Linked DNA regions of Canis lupus familiaris. The protein of the gene in region 1 interacts with the protein of each later gene in a pairwise test. Links are inferred from orthologs where the notes say so. Each region holds a gene or a part of one and is shown in the gene's direction. Other genes may lie near its edges. The genes, in order: CACFD1 and TMEM159.

The links.
Region 2: the proteins of CACFD1 (region 1) and TMEM159 interact in binary tests that used the Homo sapiens proteins (3 or more experiments, as listed by UniProt). The two-hybrid records come from large-scale screens. The link is inferred for Canis lupus familiaris from reciprocal best matches to the Homo sapiens genes CACFD1 and LDAF1.

Annotation. Positions count from the first base shown.
Region 1 is NC_049230.1:49,926,493-49,930,297, forward strand, and holds part of CACFD1 (calcium channel flower homolog), read left to right. Parts: intron 1-546; coding exon 547-619; intron 620-2,053; coding exon 2,054-2,179; intron 2,180-3,805. UniProt on the Homo sapiens protein: Transmembrane protein which mediates synaptic endocytosis and fitness-based cell culling.
Region 2 is NC_049227.1:24,498,891-24,503,395, reverse strand, and holds the start of TMEM159 (lipid droplet assembly factor 1), read left to right. Parts: upstream 1-1,433; 5' UTR 1,434-1,605; intron 1,606-1,940; 5' UTR 1,941-1,990; exon of another isoform or gene 1,991-2,021; intron 2,022-2,363; exon of another isoform or gene 2,364-2,486; intron 2,487-4,091; 5' UTR 4,092-4,196; coding exon 4,197-4,292; intron 4,293-4,505. UniProt on the Homo sapiens protein: Plays an important role in the formation of lipid droplets (LD) which are storage organelles at the center of lipid and energy homeostasis. In association with BSCL2/seipin, defines the sites of LD formation in the endoplasmic reticulum.

The DNA of each region.
Region 1 (3,805 bases):
AGGGTTCCTTAGCTGGTGTGCAGGTCACAGCCGGTGTGGTGATCCAGGTCTCCCTGATCCCAATTTCTGTTCCAAGAGAGGAAAGGCAGCCCTTGACCCAACCAAAATCCAATCCATGTTTCCTGCATCAGAGGGCTTCTTATGTGGCTAATCCTGTGAGTGGTGGTGCCTGCCTGACCTGAACCCCCTAGACTCCTCTCTCTCTTCATCCTCAATACCTTGAGGTCGGTAGGGGTTCAGCTGGGGTTCAGAGGCCAGCCCTCCCAGTGGTAGATTGGACAGAGGGTGACACGCCCTCTGAGCCCACCAGCCTCCAGCTGCACGCACACTTGCTCTGGGGCCTGGGGCAAGCTGCTTCACCTCTCTGAGCCTGCATCCTCACCTGGGGTGTGGGGCAGTTACATTGGTCCCACTTGTGTCCGCTGGCAGAGAGGAGGCTTGCGGGTTCTGCGGGGGGGAAACAAGTGCTGGGTGTCGGAAGGAATCCTTCCTGGCAGGCTCTGTCCCTTCTTCCCCGCTGATTCCTGCTCCTGTCTCGCTTCCAAGCTTGTGCCATCTCGGGCCTCTTCAACTGCGTCACTATCCACCCTCTGAACATCGCGGCCGGCGTGTGGATGATGTGAGTAGCCTTGTGACCTACTGTCTTGCCCGGTGGGGTTTGGGGCATGTGGATTTCTGGTCGCCGGGCAGGTCTTCACCTCCTTCATACCCTGCCATGTTCGGTTTTTCTGATTCTCATTAGGGCCGGGCCCTGGAAGGCTCCTACCCAGGCCTTTATTGTAGGGCCAGAGTCACAAACATTTCCCGAGTGCCCACTGAGCCAGTCTTTGCGGGCACCATGTCCACTACCATGGGCCTGGCCTCTGGGAGCTCTGGGAGCCATCAGAGCCAGTCAAGGGCTGAGTTGGAGGCTTGGTGTCTGGTGGGGTTGGAGTCAGGTGCTGGGATCAGGAGCTCCAGCTGGGAGGTGGGCAAGCCACAGACAGGGCAGGTCAGAGCTGGTGTGGGACCAGGTAGTTAGAATGCCCTAGATGAATTCCCTGCCCACCTCGTGTCAGGATACCTCGATCCCGTGGGAAGGGAACGCAGGGGTGAGCCCTGACCAGTGCAGCTCTGGCTGCATCTGACCAACCCAGCGCATGCGCCAAGTGGCTGTGCACCAAGCAGTGCCTGTGCCCGTATGGGACTTGGCCGGGGAGGGGCACAGAGATAGACGGGGGGCCCTGCCCTCAGAGAACTCAGGCCAGGGGTGAGGCTTGCTGTGGTGGGGCCCAGAGGCCTGTGCTGGCCACAGGCAGTAGGGATGGGGGTGGGTCAAGGCGCTGGGCCCAGGCGTCAGTGGGTAGAGTCAGGAGACTGGCTGGCTGGGTGTGGAAGGGCTGGGAGGACTAGGGAGAGCCAGGGCGAGTGTGGGCTGTGCAGAGTCCCTGCTTGGGGCTCAGGTGGGCACCTGGGGCACCCTCAGCTTGATTCTCTGTAGGTCATGAGGGCCCAGTGTCTGTGACGGTGACCCAGCTGTGGAGAACACGAAGACTGGAGCAGACCCTCAGTCAGTCCCCACGCCCTAGTTGTTCCCAGCCCGAATATAGGAAGGCGGGCCGGGGTAGGGGGTGGCAGGGGAAGAATACTGCACAAAAGGGCTTGCTAAGCTCCCTCCTCCCTACGTGGGCTTTGTGAGGGGCAGCCTTCAGTGACTGTGGACGGACTGACCCACTCTGGGCTGTCCCAGTGGGTGAGCCGCTGCTGCGGACAGCTTTCCCAGGGCTGATGGCCCTGTGGGTGACAGCAGTGATCATGCTAGTAGCTGAGTGGCAGTCCACGCTCTGCAAAGTGCTACTGACAGCAGTGCCATGATGGAGGGGGTCTTGTCTCCTTCAAATACAGGAGGATAAAGGGAAGACCAGAATCTCCCTCTGGAGCATTCAGTTTGGTTAGGGAGGCTGGCATGTGGGCAGCGGTTCCGCAGAGGCCCCAAGAGGAGCCGTGGGGGGCCATTGGGGACCTCCTGCTCTCCAGGCCCGTCAGCCTGCCACCCTCTCTCCCTGCCCTCCAGCATGAACGCCTTCATCCTGCTGCTCTGCGAGGCACCCTTTTGCTGCCAGTTCATTGAGTTTGCGAACACCGTGGCGGAGAAGGTGGACCGGCTGCGCTCCTGGCAGAAGGCTGTCTTCTACTGCGGGTGAGGGGCCCCAGGGGCCGGGACGGCTCGGAGGCTGACCCCCAAACTCAGGAACCCCAAGGGCAGGCGATGGGTAGCAGCCAGCATGCGGGGCTGTTGGTGAGGATGGGCCTGGGTGAGCCTGGTGCAGGGTCCTCTGCGCCACAATGGTGGCCATTGTGAAGTGGGACCAGTGGTGCAGCGGCCGGGGAGTGAGCTCAGCGCTGCAGTCACCTGCGCTGCAGATGTGAGGGGCGGGAGCCCTGCCCTGGGCTGCGTCAGAGAGAAGTGTGTGCCTGCAGCTCTGGCCCAGCCTCGAGGAGTTGTTAAGTACATCTTGGTAGGTCCACAGGACGCGTCTGTGGGCAGCCTTTGGAGAGAGTACTGTCCTTACAGGTGCCCTGACATGAGGGCAGGTTGCAGAACAGAAACCGTCACCTTCCAATAGGCTTTCCTTTGATTTTCCCACTTCTTTTTTTCCCCAAGATTTTATTTATTTACCCATGAGAGACAGAGAGAAAGAGAAGCAGGCTTCCTGTGGGGAGCCCGATACAGGACTCGATCCCAGGACCCTGGGATCATGCCCTGAGCCGAAAGCAGATGCTCAACTGCTGAACAGTTGAGGCACCCCTGATTTTCCCACTTCTGACAACAGATTTGGTACACAGCACTGCCCACCTGAGTCATGAGGTTGAACCAATTTCAAGATGTCTGGGACTCCAGGACTGTGCCCTGGGCTGAAGGCCGACGCTCAATCACTGAGCCACCCAGGGGGCCCTTGATCTTTATTTTTAAGAACTGTGTTTTAAAAATACTAACAGAGATATACATTCATTAAAAATGATTTGGAAAATATTAAAGCCCCATTGCTTGGAACGTTTAGGTCTCTGTCCACTTCTGCATGGGGAGCCTTTTAAACCTGTTTCTTGGGACACCTGGGGGGCTCAGTGGTTGAGCATCTGCCTTCAGCTCAGGTCATGATCCCAGGGTGCTGGAATCGAGTCCCACATCAGGCTCCCTGCAGGGAGCCTCCCCTTCTCCCTCTGCCTGTGTCTCTGCCTCTCTGTGTCTTTCATGAATAAATAAAATCTTAAAAAAATAAAAAATAATAAACCTGTTTCTTACACAGTTAGCTCCATCCTAAGTAAATATGTATCCTGCTTTTTTTCACTTAATATCGTGATATAAACACTCACTTTCAGTACTACCACAAAGGCTTTATAAGGTTACTTTTAATGATGGGAATACTCATTCCACTGTGGACGTCGTGCTTTTCTTAAGTTCCAAACTGTGGTGCAAATCAAATACACAGTGATGTGCCAACACGTTTTCTGTGATGCTTTCCTTGAGATATGTTTCCAGGTATGCACTTATGAAGTCAGAGAGCACAGTCATTGAAAAGGTTTCAGTACGTGACTGCTACTTTCCAAAAAGGTTTTCAGCATTTCCACCACCTCCATGGCCCAAACCCTCCCGGGGCCATGCACCGTTTTACAGTTGTGTCCGTTGTTTAGGAACTGACCTGTTCTTCCAAATGTTTTTGCTAATTGCATTTTCTTTTTTGAAAATGGTCTAATTTACTTTTTACCTATTAATGGGAGACATTCATTAATGGCATCTTACTGTTTTACGTTGCAAGTTCCTACA
Region 2 (4,505 bases), on another chromosome or scaffold:
GCATCCACCATACTGCAGCAGAACAAAGTGCATGAAGCCATGTAGGATTGCCTGAAACTTAAGAATTTAGGGATACTTACCTGTCCATGTCCTATTTCCACCATTAGCTGCCCTTTTCTTGGCTGTTGTGAAGTTAGATGGGATCCTGTAGCTTCTTTTTATCATTACTGCCCCCATGTTTATTTCTTTACCCACCAGCCTGTTTATTTCTAGAGATACTATTTGGTAGAAGACTGTACCATCGAATCTTTTTGAGTTCCTCCTATACTCCAGATAGGTACTAACTTCTTTACAGCTCTTCTTGCACCTGACCTCACTAAAACCCTGTGACTGTTTCCCAGGCTGCTATTGCTGCAGGTCACAGAGGAAAGGAAGGTCCATCTAGGTCCCTGGATGGATAAGGCCTGAGAACTCTGCAGTAGCAGGCCAAAGCTCAGGCCTGTCATTTTACAGATGAAGCCCAGGCCCAGAGAGGTCACTCACCCAAGGTCACACGGTAAGAGCCAGCCCTGAGATGAGAGCCCAGGACTGTCGGAACCCCCTCCCTCAGACCCTGGTCTTTACCAGTACCTCTATGGCAGTGGTTCTTAACAGAAACTGTGCCCTGTCACAGGATATTTGGCAATGTTTGGGGACATTTTTTTGGTTGTCACAAGTGGGAGGAAGGGGATTACTACTGGCATCTAGTGGGTCGAGGCCAGGGACACTGATAAAAAGTCAGCACAAGGATGCCCCCTCAGTACAAAATTTTCCTGCCCAAAATGTCAATAGCGCTGCCCTTGGAGAAACCCTACTCTATGGGCCAGGATTTGGGGCCAGGGAACATGTGCCTGGCTCTGACGTGGAACCAAGGGCCTTGGGTTTAGACTTTTTCAATTATAAAACGTGGAAATGATAACCTAACCCATCTTTATGGCTCTCGCTGGTTCGTGGCACCTGCGTGAGTCGTAGTAGCTAAAACTTGCCAGTCAGGCCGTACCTCATCGCTGGATGTCCTGGCCTCCAGGATTGCTTCCAGGAGAGGTGGTTCAGGTGTAGGTATTTAGGCAGGGGACGCCCTAAGACGCTGTGCAAGCCGTGCTCAGAGGCCAAGTGCACCTGTCTCGGCGGTGGCCTGTGCACGCTCACTCCAAGCCGAGAGTGTAGGGCAGGCCTCATTTTCCTCAGCTGTATATTATTGAGGGCCTGTCAGGGTGGTTGTAAAATGCTGAGGCGGAGAGCGCGCTGTGTGGAGCTCGCGGCCGGAGGCCTCGCGGCAGCTTCGCGGTCTTCCTCGGGAGGTGGGCGGGGAGAGCCGAGCCCTGAGGGGCGGGGGAAGGGGCGGGGCGAGAGCGGCCGGAGGGCGAGAGCGTTGGAGGGGGCGGGGTCAGGGCGGTGGGGGCGTGGTCAGGGCGTGGAGGGGCGGGGCCAGGGACGTGAGGGGGCGGGGCGAGGGCGGAGGACGGCGGCAGCCTGGGTGGGGCAGGAAACAGGCGCCAGCTCCCGCCTGTGCGCACTAGAGTTCCTCCCTCTAACGTCTCTCCCTGCTCCTCTTCCTCCTCCCCCCACCGCGCTTCTGTGCCTCCGCCTGCAGACCCTGGCTGGACAGCGCGGCCGCCAGGACCGGTGAGATTCGCATCTCGGATGCTAGGGTGCAACGTGCCCGGGCTGGCTAGGTCACCTCGCGGGGAGGGGCATACGAAGCGGCTCGGGGGCATGGGTTGAGAGGGTCTCCTGCGCTGTCCGCAGTTTAGTGAAAAGGAATGTCTCACCCTTCGGAGCCCCCAAGACGGGCTGGGAACACACGCACTTCTTCACACCCACCACTAGATTTGGTAAAAGGGTTGCCAGCGCATCCCACCCCACCCCCCGAGACCTTGTCCCTTCTTGGGAAACCTGGCGGGGGAGTCTCCAAACCCTCTCCCCGAGATTCATGAATATGGGTGCCCTCCTTCCCGCAGGTCTCTCTTCTCTACCGACACCGCGGAGAGGGGCTCTCCAGGGAACAAAGGTGGATTCTTCTCCCCCACATTAATGACCGGGTACTCCACTCCCCCGTGAACGCCCCTTTCTTAGCCTCTGTGCTCTCTCGCGTGCGGACCCTCCCCGTCTGCACCTGCCTCTCTTTCTCTTCCCCTCTGCGCAAGGATCCCTAGAAGCTGGGCGCCTGCTCCACCTAGCGTCTTCGAGGGTTGACCGACTGTAAGCAGATGGGGAGGGGGCGGCCTGGGGCGGCCCGAGGCGCCCAGCTTTCCTTTCCCCCAACCGGAGATGCACCCCCTCTCCCTTCCAGCTGAAACGCTGGGGTTGGCCGTTAACTCTGGGAGGGGCTGGAATGCAAGAGCCGCGGGTCGGATTGGCCAGTGGTCTTTTGGGTCAGCCTGGAGGGCCCGGGAGAAGGCAAGGAACTTGTGAGCCGCGCTGGGGATCCCAGGTTGCCCTCCGCTCCAGAGACTTCTCAGTGCCTGGGAGTTCCCTCTGTAGAGTGGCTGGGGATTGGAAGCCAGGTGGATGTATTTGATGGCTGTGGCCCATGACATTCTACCCATGCTCGTTACCATCGGACTCCCCAAACCGGTCTGGGTGGCCCTTGGGTTCCCTAGACCTCTGGAGACCGGTAATGGGAGCTGGGCTTGTTTCTGTCTGCTGCAGAGATGAGAGTAGGAGAGCTGAGTCCTGGGAACATCCCAAATACGAGATGTGTGCCAGTTGGATCTTCAAAGATCCAAAGGTTTCCTGTTTCACAAACGGAGCTGTAGGAAAGGCTCTCTAGCTGGAGTGACGAAAACGTACTTTAAGTTGCATTTTAGACCCTCTAGGTATTGGTAAAGTAACTTTCTCCCCTTAACTCACATAATTACCGTGTGGTATAAGTCAATATGGTAAACAGGTGTCAGCATCACTTAGTTAATTTTGATCACTATAACAGAATCCTTGAGGCTCTTCTTTTTTTTTTTTTTTAAGATTTTATTTATTCATGAGAGACAGAAAGAGGCAGAGACACAGGCAGAGGGGGTAGAAGCAGGCTCCATGCAGGGAGCCTGGTATGGGACTCGATCCTGGAACCCCAGGATCACTTGCTTGGCTGAAGGCAGGTTCTCAACCTCTGAGCCACCCAGGCATCCCTTTTTTTTCTTTTTACTATCAGTAGTAAGGAGGTCATTTATAAGGGTGAAATTGTGTCTAGCCCTACAGTTCTGGGAAATAAAAAATGAGAATGATATATTTGTTGATATTTAAAATCCAACAAGGTTGAAAAAGAGATCTTAAACAAATTGGTTTTGTAGTCACATGACTTAGGACAGTCCTGGAAATTAAAGGCTGTTGAGTCACAGTGTATAATTGTGGCTAGGTCTGCCCTTGAGACACCTCTCCTGTTAAGAGGACACTTACAAGTCAACAGAGAATGATTTATGGTGCTATAAGGTTGGAAGCCAACCTGTTTAGTGTGGGTAGTCAATAAAGAAGTTGGCCACCATCACTGTTAAAGGTTTTTGGTGGGGGGTGGGGGGAGGCAATGAGGGGCTTGAAATAGTGTATTCAGCTTTCTTGCTTCTATATTCTTTGTAGCAGTTTGTCAGACTGAAAAAATAAGCCCCCAGAGATAATACCATTAACATTTAGGTATTATATGATCTATATCCTTCTAGGTCTTTTATTTTACTATGGAATATAGACATAAAATACATATATTTATGTAACAATATAGGATATCTTAAAAATTTTTTTCACTTATCATGAATGTGTTTTCATGTCACTAACTAGATGTCCACATTATCAACAACTATGTAATACATCTTATGAACTTATCATTATTTAACCAATTTCCTACTGATACACAGCTTCTTTCCAATGTTTTGCTGTTTATTATATATTACACATAGAATTGCACTGTACATCCTTTTTGTATGTTTTGATACACCTATTTGATTATTTCCTTCAGATTACTGAAAAATACATTGTTGAAGGTATGTGTGCTTAGAAATTCTGATATTGCCAAGCTACCCTTCACCTGCACACCTACCATCAATGTGTGAGGATAGTAGAAGCTTTTGTTGAACTAGCTAGGTGAATATTATACTAATGGTTCAAGATTCTTTTTGTTTCACCAGTGACAGCAAGAGACTGGGTGACATGAGAGATTCAACTGTGCCCTGCCCGGGACAGCTTACTGATAGAAGAATTGATCTCTAAAGAGACTGGGCATTGGTTTCAGGATGGCAAAAGAGGATCCTCCGAGTACCTCAAAGGACTTGCAGGAGCTGCAGAAGAAGCTGTCTTTGCTGGTAGAGTCCATCCAGAATAACTCAAAGGTCAGTTTACAATCAGACTGTGTAATGGAAAATCCCCAAATAACAGCAGCTTAAACACCATGAAAGTTATTCTCTCTGAAGTAGAAGAAATTTGGAGGTAGATCAGGAATCTCTGTAATTCACCACTTTGCCATGTGTAAATTGTGATCTTCAAACTCATTGTCCAAGATGGCTGCTAAAGCATTAGCCATTATATTCACATTCCAGGCAATA